Linked DNA regions of Lepisosteus oculatus. The protein of the gene in region 2 purifies or fractionates together with the protein of the main gene of each other region. This does not show direct contact. Links are inferred from orthologs where the notes say so. Each region holds a gene or a part of one and is shown on either strand. Other genes may lie near its edges.

What was found. Proteins that work in one complex are often made in the same cells at the same time.
Region 1: the proteins of baz1b (region 2) and myo1cb purify together in Homo sapiens (affinity purification with western blotting; 3 studies listed by BioGRID, with this or other methods). This does not show direct contact. The link is inferred for Lepisosteus oculatus from reciprocal best matches to the Homo sapiens genes BAZ1B and MYO1C.

Annotation. Positions count from the first base shown.
Region 1 is NC_090721.1:11,143,770-11,151,633, reverse strand, and holds the start of myo1cb (myosin Ic, paralog b), read right to left. Parts: upstream 3,018-7,864; coding exon 2,694-3,017; intron 1-2,693.
Region 2 is NC_090721.1:440,723-447,963, reverse strand, and holds the start of baz1b (tyrosine-protein kinase BAZ1B), read left to right. Parts: upstream 1-4,219; 5' UTR 4,220-5,170; coding exon 5,171-5,289; intron 5,290-7,241. Other genes in the region: tectonic-like complex member MKS1, read left to right, coding at 52-134, 1,429-1,526, 2,539-2,642. UniProt on the Homo sapiens protein: Atypical tyrosine-protein kinase that plays a central role in chromatin remodeling and acts as a transcription regulator. Involved in DNA damage response by phosphorylating 'Tyr-142' of histone H2AX (H2AXY142ph).

The DNA of each region.
Region 1 (7,864 bases), about 11 Mb from region 2:
GAAAGCAGACTCTTAAGTTGATGTTAAAATACTCCATCGGGTTTGTGATCAGATCCCACAGTCCATCCGTTTTCTAAACACTTCATCCAATTTAGGGTCACATGGGAACCAGAGCACACAGGCGCAAGGTGGGGTACACCCTGGGAGGGAGGCCAGTCCATCACAGGGCAGTCAGACACATCAGGACCAATTACTCCCTGAAGACAAAGACCCTACCAACATTTCTTTGGACTGGGGGAGGACACCCACACAAACACAAAGAGAACATACAAACTCCACACAGACAGCACCCCAGGAACTGAACCCAGGGCCCCAGCGCCGTGCGGCTCGTCCCCCAGTCTACTGGACAATTAAACCAGCCCGCCAGGTGGCCGGCCATGAGGTCTCCGGTCCTCAGGGCCCAGAGTCCAGCAGGTGTTCTGCGTCCTTAGTGTGTAGAAACAGTTCATCTCCTGTGAGGAGGGTTGGGCCCCCTCACAGGAGTGTGTCTTTACCCGTTCGGTCAGAGAGACACACAGCACCAGCTGGATTCTGCACCCCAGTGGTCTAGAGGGGGGACCCCTGTTCTAGGCCTCTGCTAATTCTCCTGGGAGCATCCCAACAGAGGAACGTTCAGAGAAAAATTCAACACCAGCTTTCACCAACCACATATAAAATGTCTAAGACATTCAGAATGTTTTTCTTTATATATTTTTCATACAAAAACTTAATACCCTTATTCATTTATTCTTTTTTTGAATTGTATAATGTTAGCATGCCAGAGGGGTTGGACAGCCAGTTGACCCTGGACCCCTGGAGGTTTTTTTTCTCCTTACTGAGGAGTTTTTGGTTCCTCTCCTCCGTTGTCTTCTGGTCTTTTCTGTTCTGTATTCACAATACGTCTGGTCACTTGCTTTGTTAAGCACCTTCGGGCAACCTTGTTGTGAAAGGCGCTATATGGCGGTATATGGGCAGAGCAATTGCACCCCGGCTCAGGATCTGCGCCTGTGGCTGGAAGGTTGCCGGTTCAAATCCCGCAGCCGGCAGAGGAATCCTACTCCGTTGGGCCCCTGAGCAAGGCCCTTAACCCCAACTGCTCCAGGGGCACCATATAAATGGCTGACCCTGCGCTCTGACCCCCAGCTTCTCTCCCTGTCTGTGTGTCTCATGGAGAGCAAGTTGGGGTATGCAAAAAGACAAATTCCTGATGCGAGAAATTGTATATGGCCAATAAAGTGATCTGATCTTATATAAAAATAAACTTAAGTGAATTGAATACAAAAGATTCCATCCTCCCCCCCACACACACACCACTGGCTCCTGTCACTGGGTCACAGCACAGGGGTATTGAACAGGAAGCCCACTCTCACTGGCCAGCGCCGCCCCAGAGCCACAGGAAGGCTGCCCAGAAACGGCAGCTTCCTGAGAGCCAGATCCTGGCAGAGGCGCCCTCTACAGTCTTTCCAGCCACACCCAAACTGGGGGCTTCCTGCACAGACCCAGGTTAGTCCCAGGGACGAGCTCGTGCTGAAACCCACAGGACTCTATTTGCATATATAGACAAGAAATCAACTAATGTCTGTCTATATGTGTGTGCTGGTGGCAAGAAATAAAAATTGGCACCAAAACAAAAAGAGAAGTTTCTACTGCTTCGGCAGCAGGATGGAAATGCTTAATCAGATCATCAGTGTATCTGCGCAGATCACTTCTGCTTTCTGCTTTTCTGCTCCTCTCTGCTTTTTGGCTTCTAGGGTAGTGTGTCCGGTGTCCTGTGTCTCTGGCAGAAAGGTCTCAGCTGTGTCGTGGAGTCAGGTCAGTCGTGTTTAAAAAGTGTGGGTCAGGATCGTCATGCACAGCAGCTCTTTCCAGCTCTGAACCCAATCTTCAAAGTTTGTCTGCACTGAAACAAGCTCACATTTCCCACTGAAATTCTAGTATAAAGAGTGGCGGTGATATTATTCATCAAAATTGTAGTCTGTGTTTCAGTTAAAAGTGCATTTCTTTGTATTTATTTCTATGTATTTTAGAATCATGTGGTGTGCTGTAAAACACTTAGGATGTTAAACGTGTGCTGTGAGCTGGAAAGTTTGGGAAGCACTGTGCTAGACTTTGTCCCACTGGCCCTTGACCTTTGAAGTATTTCTGCAGATCTCCTGTGTTTCTTCACTCTTCCCCATGCGTGCCTGCAGTGCTCTGGAAGATATTCGGCTCAGTATCATGTCTCTGTCTCGCTAGGGTACTGGGACCAAGCTCACATGACCAGGGACGTAGCCAATGCATTGAGATTTTATCTGGACTGTGCACAATGTTGCTAAACAGCTGGCTGGACTGTACTTCACTAGTTTTTTAACAATTCTTTTATTTTGATTAATTTAAAATGCAAACCCAGCAGGGGAGAAAACACAGAAACAATGACAGAACACAACTAGACACATCATCCAGCGATACACAATGTACATTACGGTCTTTCAGTCACAAACCGAAGGAAACTTGACTAGTGTTGGATTATCACAGATCTCCAGCACAATATCCAATTCATTATTCTCTCCTCTGCTAACCCTGCCCTTGGGTTTGCAAAAAAAAAGCCATTTAATTTCTGTTTAATCTTTCAGCAAGACATCTCTCTGTGTTCCAACCATATTTTATGTCGTTTTTTGCATATTTCAACATCCAAACATCAGACCGAATCAAAGAAAGCAAAAAATCCTTCTCACCTTGATGCAGTTACTGCAGAAACATTCCCCATTCTTCCCAGGAGGCAGAATAATCTCCCCAGTCGGAATTAGTTGGATTTTCAGCTCCATCTTTCCCCTAGTGCCAGCTGGAAAGACTGGGCGTTCAGACGTATCCGACCCCAGAAAAGCTCTAATGCTGGAGAAGGAGAGAGGAGACTCCAGAAGCTGGTCTGGCTCAGCTGTGCACTGGGAGGAACTGAAGGGGAGTCTTTGTTTCTTGAGAGAGAGGAGGGAAAGAGCTGTGGTACCTGGATGGGGTGGAGGATGAAGTGCGCACTTCCACAACGAGGCGGGAGAGCACATCCAGGGTGTCAAGTCCTGTTCCAAACGCGCTGTAATTGATGTTCTCCTGCAGAGCCTTGAAGCTGTGGGGGTCACGTCAGGGCTTCCTTAAAGACTTTCTGAAAGCTGCTGTATCCTGCTCTGGGCTCCAAACATAAATAAAGAGGGCGAACGTTTCCCTTGGAAAACAAGAAGGAGGCTGTTTTGTTTTCTTTTCTTTCTCTTTTTAAACACCAACTGAGCACTGAGCAGCCGGGAGAGGGCGGCTGAGTGCCGCAGCGAATCCTGGGCCTGCCCCCTGCCTGTCGACTGGCTTGAAATCGGATAACTTTTACACCGGGGCGAAGACAAGGAGAAGACAAGGAAACCCTAACCAGGCTGCCCCCATGCTGGAGGCCTCTCAAACCCCCAAAAAACTGGACACTGGGTGGACAGGGCTCAGCATCGCTGAAGCTGGACACAGTGGGCCCTGTACCCTGGTCTTCCAACAAGTTGGCTTCTCTGAAATCCCTGTGGTGAATCATTGCTTCTCTTCTTGCGAGTCTCTCTTGGTACCCTGAAATTTGTGTCAAGCTTCTTGTCTCCTTGGGGGCTCCTCCACTGGGTCCACTAGGGTGGCCAAAGGTTGGGGCGTGGGCAATTTGTCACGAAGCGTTTTTTCAGGACCCTATGCAGACGGCAGAATCCGGAGGGGAGTGAGACAAACATGGGGAAAAAAGACTGGGATCGGGGCTGGAAGAAGAACAGGGGGGCATGTCAACGGTGCACTGGTGCTCGGGGGGGGGGGGGGGGGGGGGCAAACCAAGGCAAACAAGTCCAAAGGGGGTCCGAAGGGAAATCCAGAGAATGCAAGAGTCTTGAGCCGGGTTATCCAAACCAAGGCAGCCATGACAGAAGTTAAAAGCCGGAGCTGGATCCGGCGAAGGGTCGGGGGATTAAAAACGAGGAACGTGGCCAGGCGCTCCCAGCCCCGGACCCAGACGGTCAGGTCGCCGTTGTGAAGCCAATGCCATCGTGGCACTCCTGGACTCGCTGGTAGGTAGGCTTCCGGGCGTCCATCTTCCAAAGCTGAGCCCGGAATGGTGGGAGCGTCTGGCTTTTGTAGGGAAGGGCTGGAACAGGAGGCAGGTGCAAAAAATCAAGAGAAACAAGAAAGAGCTGGGGCATCCTTAAGAGGAGGGGCTTACGATTGTGACACAATTAGTAAGGAAAGGCTTAAAAGACGAGGAAGATGTGCACTCCCTGCAGTGATGTCAGTAATTTATATGAATGCATACAAGAGTGGGACATGTGCAGAGAAAAGGAAATCTGCACACAAATAATGCTGGGAATACTACTCCAGAAGTCAAACACAGTCTCTGGTGAGTTTCCTCTTCCTTGGTGGCTGTGTGCGACCTGAAGTGGTGGAAGTGGTCTTTCTCGAAAAGGTTTAATTCCTTTTTCGGTTGGCTGTCCGTGCTATAGTGAAACATTAAAGCTCTCCTCCTTCCTCTCTGTGGGAGTGCTGTGGTCTAGAGAGATGCCAGGCCATCGTGTGTGAAGGATGAAGCGAGTGACTCGACTGCGGACCCTGACAGGGGCAGTAAAGGACGCCGGAGTGGTATCTGGTCCTGCACGAATCAGGCAGGCCGGGGGGTGTCCAGCATGGACTCACGATGGGGCAGGACTGGAGTCCCACACGGGAGCTGGCCAGGGCATCTTCAGCCCCTGTTTTCAGGCAGACAAGCTGGCTCTGCTCTCGACACCATGGGGATCGCTGTCCGAGAATCAAGCGTGACTCCTCAGCCCAGATGACACCGAGCTGAGGGGGCTGAGTGAGCCCAGCAGACACAGAACTGAGGAGGCTGAGTGAGCCAGGCGGGAGACACGGAGCTGAGGGGGCTGAGTGAGCCCAGCCGACACGGAGCTGAGGAGGCTGAGTGAGCCCAGGTGACACAGAACTGAGGAGGCTGAGTGAGCCCAGCTGTCACGGAGCTGAGGAGGCTGAGTGAGCCCAGCCGACACAGAGCTGAGGAGGCTGAGTGAGCCCAGGTGACACAGAACTGAGGAGGCTGAGTGAGCCCAGCTGTCACGGAGCTGAGGAGGCTGAGTGAGCCCAGCCGAACCGGAGCTGAGGAGGCTGAGTGAGCCCAGGTGACACGGAGGTGAGGAGGCTGAGTGAGGCAGGCGGGAGACACGGAGCTGAGGAGGCTGAGTGAGCCAGGCAGGAGACACGGAGCTGAGGAGGCTGAGCGAGCCCAGCCGTCACGGAGCTGAGGAGGCTGAGTGAGCCCAGGTGACACGGAGGTGAGGAGGCTGAGTGAGGCAGGCGGGAGACACGGAGCTGAGGAGGCTGAGTGAGCCCAGCCGACACGGAGGTGAGGAGGCTGAGTGAGGCAGGCGGGAGACACGGAGCTGAGGAGGCTGAGTGAGCCAGGCGGGAGACACGGAGGTGAGGAGGCTGAGTGAGCCAGGCAGGAGACATGGAGGTGAGGAGGCTGAGTGAGCCAGGTGTGCTGGATCCCCACTTAGGCCACACAGGCACACGGGCACATAGGGACAAGGGCACATGGGCACACGAGTGCTCATCATCACACAGAGTCGGGCCTCATGGCGATTGGCAGAGGGCTCTGCTCTGTGTGTGTCTGCACCGAGCTGCAGGGCGGGACAGCTCCCAGCAGGAGGAGAAGGAACTGGATGCACATCCTTTGAACTCTGACCGTGCAGGAGAGGGGCAGTCTTGCTGGGCATCAACAGGAAGCACAGCCCAAGGCTTCCAGCACAAACCTGGCCTGAAAAAAAACAACAAGTTTTTGTCCTCTCACTTCTTTGCAGCTAACTTTACATTAATTTCCTACGGAGTAAGAAACAACAAGCAAAGCAGGACTGCGGTATTTCCTCTAGCAGTGTCTGGGAAAACATCCTCTGACATTTACAGCCCAGAGCCTCGCGCAGCCCACCGTCGAGGTGCTATTTAGGCTTCCTGTGTTACTGTGTTACCAGTGTGCTGAGGGTACGGGCCCGGGCTGGACAGGGAGGGACGCAAACGGATTTCCCACTGTGGCAAAAGCTTGATTAATTGCAGTTTCTTGCTGTTCTGACAGAAAGAGAACCGTCACGTCGCATGGACAGGAAGGAGGCGGCAGGAGACACAGACACCGGGTTAGCGGCTCTGTCAGTGATCCTCTGTGCTTGAGAATGTCCTTCCCACTGTGGACATTTGTCTTGGGCTTCTCCCATCAAGTACAAGTACAAAACACACACGCAAAACATAAAAGTCACATAACATCCCATGAACTGCATGAAATCACAACAAGAGTATATAATAGATTTATTTATAAGAAATGTATAAATAAATAGGTAGTGAGAGAAACAACATTTACATACATTCATTGCGATTTTTTATTGCAATTTCACAGTTTAGAAATGCCTTAAATACCACATACCTTAATGACAGGTTCAGATGCTAATGGAAGATCTCTGGAATTGGTTTTACACGAACAAAACAGGAAAAAATGAAGGCATTCTGACGGAATGCACATTATGTAGTTGAAAACACGGCGGAAATGAACCGACCCGAACTGGGTCAGCTCGCCAGCTCGTCTTCCTCGCGAGGTTCTGATGTCGCCGCCGGTACAGCGGCGCTGGACTGTCCGGAGGAAATGGTCAAAACAAGTTTACTGGACATCGGAAACACGCTGATGTGGATTTAAAATAACCTAAAGAAAAAAAACCTACAAAGCACTAAAGGTGGTCATATCTGTCAATCCCAATCTGAACCGGGCCTCACAGCTCATGGCACGCGTGGACAAACTAGAGATCTCCACGCAAGCTGATCAGCCTGGCAAAGGCTCCACGCGTGACGTGTTCTGAGATCTGTTCATGTGAGAGGGCCAACAAGAGGCTGCCAAACAGGCTGCTGATCTATTAAAAATGCTGCCGTGCTCCGTGATTTATCAAATCAAAATAAAACTAATATTCCAATTTAATACGAGTAAATATGGGGCGAAAACGTGTTTTCCTCGTTAAAGCTACGTTCCACCTTATGAACGAGAAACCTACGCAAAAACGCTTTAAGCGCTATGAGAAGTCACCTTTAAAGGCGCTATTTAAAACAATGATGATTGTTATTGTTATGAATTAGCCTCCAGTCTCCTATCCGAGCAGCAACTGGTTTCCTAACTGTGTTCCTAATTCTAAGTTAATGCTTCAGTGTTTCGCTTCTTGTCGTGGCGTGTGAGGCACCACAGCAGCCCCCGGCCCATCTCCGTCCTGTCCGGCAACAAGTGGGTCACGAACTCCTTCAGCTCAAGAGTTTACAGCGGCGACAAGGACCCTTGGCCGACCTTCAGCTAGATGTCGTTTATAAAACAAAAAAGCGTCCCAAGCCTCGCACGGGGCCGTCCACTCGCGCGGAGCAAGGGGGCTCTCCTGTAGAGTCTTCCTCACCCCCCCGACAGGCAGCCGCGACAAAAACACGGAAACCCCGACCTGCTCAGATTCAGGGCTCCCTGCAATGCCGGGAGTCTGCCGACCCCTGGTGGTTGATGTAACTGTATTCCCTACTGCCGGCGACTTGTAGCAAAAGCGCCGCGTTTAAATGATCATCACGTTATTAACAGTCAGTTCATCTCACAAGAACCCCAGAGGACCTCTCCAGTCAAAGCAAGCGCAGTGTTAATACACACTCTGCTGCCTTATATAGTATATTAGTGTAGAGGCTCAACTGCCGCTTAGAGAAGCCATGTAGCACGTACCCAGACATCAGGGCGAGTAATGCTTTAGCTGTCGCACGGTCCTCTAGGGATCCTGCAGATGCGCACAGTGCCCTGTGTTTGTACCCAGGCGGTGGGCTTCACGCAGATTGGCCTCTACCTCTGTACGAGGGA
Region 2 (7,241 bases):
GAATTCCCTCCTCTGCCTCACCGCTCTCACCCATGACTCTTCCTTCCCCAGGGGGAGCGTCTGAGCCGCTTCGGCTTCCGCAGTGAGACCACTGGCCGTGTGACCTTTGCCCTGCACTGCATTCAGCACTCAAGGTGAGGGGTGAGGGTCCGCTGTGGGCACCGGCTCCTGTGTCACTCACGACACCGGAGCGTCTGGTGTTTATGAAGAGGATGCACTCATTTAAATCCAAAACAAATCGTTTGGGAGGGGAGCAGAACTTTGAAATTCAGGGTTGTCTGATTTGTGTAAAGTGGGGGAATCAAATAAATGAGTTGACCCCAAGGTCGTGACCTGACATCCAGTCCCCACGCACCCCCATCTGATGAGTGACTGCATGAACCCCTCTGGGAATCGGGCTGTTCATCCCCAGATTATGCAAAACATATGCAAATATTTACTGTAAAGGAAGATGTTGATGTCCAACTCTGCACATTATAAATGACTTAAGGAGAACTGCACAAGTAAGAATGTGCAGTATAGATTATGGAATAGATTCCAAAAGGCTGAACAAGCTCATCAGGAGAGCGAGCTCTGTCATTGGGTCTGACCTGGACCCCTTGGAGGTAGTGGCTGAGAGGAGAATGATGTCCAAACTGGAGGCCATCATGGACAACTTCTCCCATCCCCTCTATGACAGGCTTGCAGGAATGAAGAGCACGTTCAGCAATAGACTGATTCATCCACGGTGCGACAGGGAGCGCTACAGGAGGTCATTCTTGCCGTCTGCCATAAGACTGTACAACGCATCCACCTTGCGTCTTGGCAGAGGCAACAGCGACAGTGACCTGTTTCTGGACTAAACGCATATACACATATACTGCTACATCTGTTCTCTTTCTTTTTCTTTTTCTTTTTCCCGTTTACAACCACTTTTGTGCAATATATGCCAGGGACCTGTGCAATACATTTATATTTATATTTATATCTATGGTTACATCTATATTTATATTCATACGTGTGATACGATTTTCTGTGTACTGTTCTGTTCTAGTTTCCTCTTGTGTGTCCGGACTGTGAGTAACTCTTGTATTGTATTGTATGTATTGTACTATTAGTATATAATTCGTTACACTGTGGCTGTGTTGTGTGTGTTAAGCTGCTGTTGCACTGCAATTTCCCTCACGGGATCAATAAAGTATCTATCTATCTATCTATCTAATGTGTCATAAATATAAAGCAAAGGTATCACATAATTATTGTTGGTCTTTATCTTACAAGATGATTTAAGGAGAACTGAAAACCCTGCTGAATTCTGATCAATGATGACTCTCGAGCTAGAAAAAAACATTTTTAAAATAAAAAGGAAAATGTGTTGCAGCAGGGCTTTCTTAATCAGAAATCAAAGTATAGAAGCATTCTTCCTGTTGTTGTCTCTCCACATCACAGGGCTTTTATTGATGCCAGTGCTCTGAGGAAGAGGAGGCAGAGTGTCCTGGACCAGCTGGGAGGGTTCAGCCAGCAGGGCTCCATCTACAATGTGCTGGGTAAGACACTGGCTCAGACTTACACACCCCTGCAGTTCTCTGTACCCTCCTTGCCCACACCTGGTGAGAGAATTTCACTCCGAGAACAAAAGTGTTCAACAAAAGAATTAAAATCAAGGGAAGTAAAATTTTAAAATGCACTAAAGAGATGTGGAAGTGCATTCAAAAGCTAAAACAGAAGGCGCTTCTTTACCCTAAGGCTTGTGGGAATAGGTAACAAGTTACCCAGCCATGCTGTTGGAGCTCCAGGGGTGCTGTACAATGGCTGCGCTCTGACCCCAAGCTTCTCTCCCTTTCTGTGTGTGTCTCATGGAGAGCAAGCTGGGGTATGCGAAAAGACAAATTCCTAATGCAAGAAATTGTTTATGGACAATAAAGTGATCTTTTCTCTCTTATGTCTTCAGACTATGGAAGGAAACCCACATGAACATTGGGGAGAACATGCAAACTCCACACAGACCGCACCCGTTCAATAATTAAACCCAGGGCCCTAGCACTGCGAGGCAGCAAGGCTAACCACTTCACCCTGCTGTCCATAATTAGATCTATTCAGTCAATCATGACCTTGAAGTGGAATACAAAGCAATAATACTGATAGCCCACCAGGAACTGAGTATGACACCCCTTCCTTATGATGACAGATTTTTTGCTTTACAGGCAGGTACAGTCTGCTGTTTTTTGAGCAATCTACCTGGGTTTCTTTGTGAAAATGCAAGCTGATAGGGTGAATGATCTTTCCTAACCATAACACGTCCATAGTCCATTATGCTCAGAGGGAGAAACGAGAGGTTGAATTCCAGATTCCTTGGATACCGGCCTGCAAAGTACTAGACTTCAGACACGCCCTTTCTTTGGGGTGGGGCCTGGACTCTTCGACCTGGGTGCTAGTTTCATTAATGACCATTTCAGCTACTGTGATTTCTGTCAGAAAAACCTTGGTGTGCTCCTGAGCAATAAAAGTGACCGGTGTAATTAAGAGTACAATCTTAATCACTTTCTCTGCTCTTCCCAGAGGCGTTTCAGAGGGCCCGGAGACGAATGCAGGAGGCTAGGGAGAGCCTTCCCAGTGACCTCATTAACACCACAGCGCCCCCTGCCTCTGAGTCCACTGCATAGAATCAGCACGGGGAACATGTATGCAGCTCTCACAGAAGGCCCGGGAAACATGCTTTCAGTCCTCCTACAGATCACCTTGAGAGATATGCTCAATTAGTAAATCTACAGAAAAAGGCAAAGAGAGCATTGAAATGCCATGAAATTATTTTTACGAGACACTTTGATATTGAATTTGAAATATTTTATAGTAATTGATATCTACTCTGTAATTAATCTGTGTATGGTATTATGTACTGGTATTAAATGAATTTGGATTGGAGAGTATTTTTATACTGTTTGTATTGTAATTGTTTTATATGGAAAATTGTAAATAAAGTTTATTTGCTGTTTTATTTAAGCCATATTTTATAAGATTGAAACCAGAGTTCACTTTCTCTTTTTTATATTTTATTGCACTATTTTTCTGAAATGCTCATCACAGCATCAGTGTTACAACTGGTCACATGATATCCTCAGGGATATCTTGAGGATCTGGGTCCGTGTTGAGGCATTGAGTCTCAATGACTTTTTAACTGGTAGGACTTTTTCCTATTGGCCTGTGCAAATCATGGCCTCCTAATAATCCCCATCTATGAATTGACTTCATTACTCTGCTCTCTTCCCTGCTGATTGCTTATGTGTGGTGAGCGTTCTGGTGCACCATGGCTGCCATCACATCATCCAGGTGGGGCTGCACACTGGTGGTGGTGGAGGGGATCCACATTACCTGTAAAGCGCTTTGAGTGGAGTGTCCAGAAAAGCGGTATATAAGTGTAAGCAATTATTATATAAAAATGTGTGAATGTACTGTGAGTGAAACATCACAATGACACCTATTCCAAGAACACTACTTTCACTGGGACAAGGTTCAACAAAAGCAAGGTCCTTGCAGAGAGGCAATATGACGACCTGTAGAACCCGGTGCTCGAGGGGAATTATTTGTGAGCGTTTTACTCTCAGGGTCCAGGTTTCAGCCACATCAGATGCTGAACACTTATCTGACGCTTGGATGGGGTTTTCTTAGACTCCTAGGACTAGGGGAATCTCATTCCAGGGCTATCCATCCAAATCACCACACCCTCGGCACTGAGATAGCACTGGGAAGTCAGGGGTCTGGACTGGAAACGGCAAGGCTGTAGGCTCGGCTCTCAGGCTGCGTAAAAGATGTTACACACGCCATTTGCTTTGGATTAGACTAGTGTCAGTCAAATAATTACTTTTAATAGCCGTCTGCATGGCGCGGGACGATGCATTAAACTTGGACTTAATTCTATCTTTCCACTTTACAATAATAAAATGCAGGCCTATCGTCAAAAAATAAACTGAAAGTAAGTAACCGAAGATCCAGCAAAGCTGTTACATACGCAGAAACTACTGTTAAATAGAAGTGTCTCGAATACACAAAAGTATCTAACAGCGGTGTTTAATAAACAACAATGGATGATAATAATCGTTTTCTCTCCCTTAGTCCAAATACGCTGCAGCTGCAGGCTGGGATGTGACCATTTCTCTGCCCCCGTCCGTCTCTAAGCGCTCGCAGCGCTGCGCTTTGTTACCGAGCGCCAGCCTGCGGATCCGCGCATAATGGCGCAGCCAGACCTACTTTCGAAACCGCCCGGACACCGTCGCGGAATATTCACGAAAACAACCACCAAAAATCACTCATAACGGAGGGGAGCGAATAGAATTGCCGCTCGGCACAATTAAACAAAACAGAGCGAGGCAATTTATTGATTTATTTATTTTATGCCACCGCTTGACCTTTAACCCTGCGCTTCAACCTAACACCACATCCTCCTCGGGGACGGGGGAGGGCTGCGGGGGGGCGTGGCTGCACTTAATGGACAGCAGGAGCGCCAATGGGCCGGCGCGGCCGTGCTCGAGACGGCGTGGGCAGCCAATGAGCAGGAAGGGACACGGGGGCGGGATCAAGCCGAGCCTGCTGCCGGGGTAACGGAGTTTTTTTGGGGTTGCCGGCGGAGTCGGATCTCCCGCCATTTTTCAATAAGGATTTCACCCTGTTGTTTGTTTTCGCACCTGCTTTATTGTCGCTCACCTTCCCCCTGCACGTCAGGTGAACGGCGAGCCGGGAGCGCCAGAGAGCGGTGTTGTCCTGCGGCGAGAAGCGAGCCGGGAGAAGGCGCGACAGACCCCCGTCTGCGTCCCTGTCTCCGGGAGAGCCCGTCTCCATCCTCAGCCGCACACAGCGGGATCTCCGCGGCCAGGAGGCCAATCACATTTCCCGGCCCGGGCTCCATCGCCGCTCCCCATCCCCGCGCAGACCAGGAGGATGCCGGCGCCGGCTGCCTGAGCCAGCCAGCCAGCCGCAGACGGGCCGGCGAGCCGGCGGGGGAGCCGGTGTGTGACCGTGGCGCCGGGCGAGCCGAGCCTCCTGCATGCCCTACGCGCGGGGTCCCCGGAGCCGCTGTGTGATCCTGCAGTCTGGACTTCATGCGAAGGGCCTCCCCGCTCTCTGTGCGGGATTTCGGACAGCTGCCTGAGCCGAGGAGCTTCTTTCGTCGCCCGTCCGCGCTCCTGTCGCCGGCCCGATGGCACCGCTGCTGGGCCGGAAGCCCTACCCGCTGGTGAAGCCGCTGGCGGAGCCGCCAGGCCCCGAGGAGCTGGTCTACACCATCGAGCACACGAAGGAGGCCTTCAGGAACAAAGAGTATCCTTCCCTTGCCCGCCCCGGGCCTGTCCGCAGCGGCCGGCGCCGGGTGTGCTTGATCCGTGCCCGGGGTCCGGGAGCTCCTCCCCGGCCGCTGAGCCTCTTTGTCCGCCGACAACAACAGGGCTCCCCCGCCGCCTCCGCTCTTCGCGCCGGCTTTTGTTCCGATCGGGGTCTCGCTGGCTGGCCGGGGGTGGGGGGGGGTCCGGGTTTTGACTGTGTGGCTCAACATGTGCTCGTTTGCGGCGGGGTTGCACATGTGCGCGTCTCGGCTGAGACAAAGGAAGTTGCCCGGTGAGGCGCGCAGGGCGGCGGGCTGACAGCGCTGACAGGCGCCGCGGCGGGGCCGCCCGGCCGTTTCCTCGGCGCACAGCTGAGGCGTGAAGCTCGGCTGCGGGCGTTATTGGCAGATTGGCGGCGTTTTATTCTGGGATCGCAGGCGGTGGCAGAGTCGCTCTGATGCGTCCGGCGATTGCAGTCTCCTCTTGGCACTGACGTGTGCGCCTCGCTGCTGGAGTCGGAAGAGGTTTCACACGGTCGGCTGTCCGGGCAGGTGGGGGAGTCCGGCTCGCAGACTCCTCCGATCACATCCGTGATGGTGTTCACAGGCGGGGGCGGACAGCAGCCAGCCTATCCTCAGCCCCACTCCGTGACACGGTGTTTGGAGTGTTTCACAAAATCCCGACCCCCGGGAGTCATTGATCATGTCTCGCAGCTCCAGCGATCAGGAGCCACCGGCTGGTTTCCCTTTCGTGTCGGTGTGCATGTGCCCCAGTCCCGGGGTGAGCGGCGTGGTGTCACCGGGGGCACTGACTGGCACGCCAGCTGCTCAGTGGCTGTGCTGACCCTGCCCGCTGGCGCTGGGGGAGAGAGGGGTGACCGTGGGCAGGGTGGCGACTCCAGAGCCTGGGTGGGCAGTTGTTCTCCCGGGCTGGAGCTGTGCCCCCTGTTGCGCCTCAGCCTGGTGCCCCGCCGGCTGGGGGGGTGCTGCACCCTGTGTCTCTTGCCGGGTGGAAAGCTGCGCTGTGTGGCGATTGTGTGGGTGATGGAGGGGTGCAGAGCTCCGCTGGCCCCAGGCCCGGGTGTCATTGCTGTGCTGGGCCTGGCCCCGTGACCTTGTGCGAAGCGGCTCGTCGGTGGGATCTGCTCTCTGGAGGGTGATCGCGGCCGGCGGAAAAATCTTATTTTCTTAGACATAGAATGTTTCTTTTTTAGGCTTTTAAGCCTGATTACTCAGAAAATTGACCTACTAGTACAGTCACCAGTAAAACACCTCAGGCTTGGTTATATGTGTTGCACTAATGCTGCAAAATAACGCTCTGGACTGTGGAATTGTGATTTCGGGTAAACTCGCTGTAAACTCAGGAACTGAATCTGACACCTTGTAATAGTTTCATTATTCATAGCTGACACCAGTGTTTGATTTCATGAGCTCTAGGTTCTTATGGTAGAAGTTCTACCTATCAGATATAAAAATTAATGTACGCTTATTGTTTTGAATTCATTAATCTTTCACTATTGAATATCTGGAATAAGCTTTAAATGCAGCATTCTCTCCTGCTCATGTAGCGCCTGCCGCTGTGAAGTCACGCTGCGCTGTTGTCCTGAGTTGCGTCCACACCCATGTATTGTTCCAGTACTTAAAAGTACTCATTTTCAAACAGGGGAAAAAATCTTTGACGTCTGTCCTTTTTGTTCCTCTTTTCTAAATCATTGAGCCAGATACGTTAATTCTCATTTTCCTAGATGGCCTGGGCAGTTACCTTTCTAAGCAGCAGGGTTTTAACTAGAGAAAGAGTGACACCTCTCCTGGGATTTGAACCCGCAACCTCCTGGTCTGGAGTCCACTCCCCCACGCTGCTTGGCCTGTGTTGTCACCCGTCCCTCTGAAACCGTGCACTTCCTCCAGTATGGGGGAGGAGGGTGTAGGATTACTCGAGATTTCTATCTTT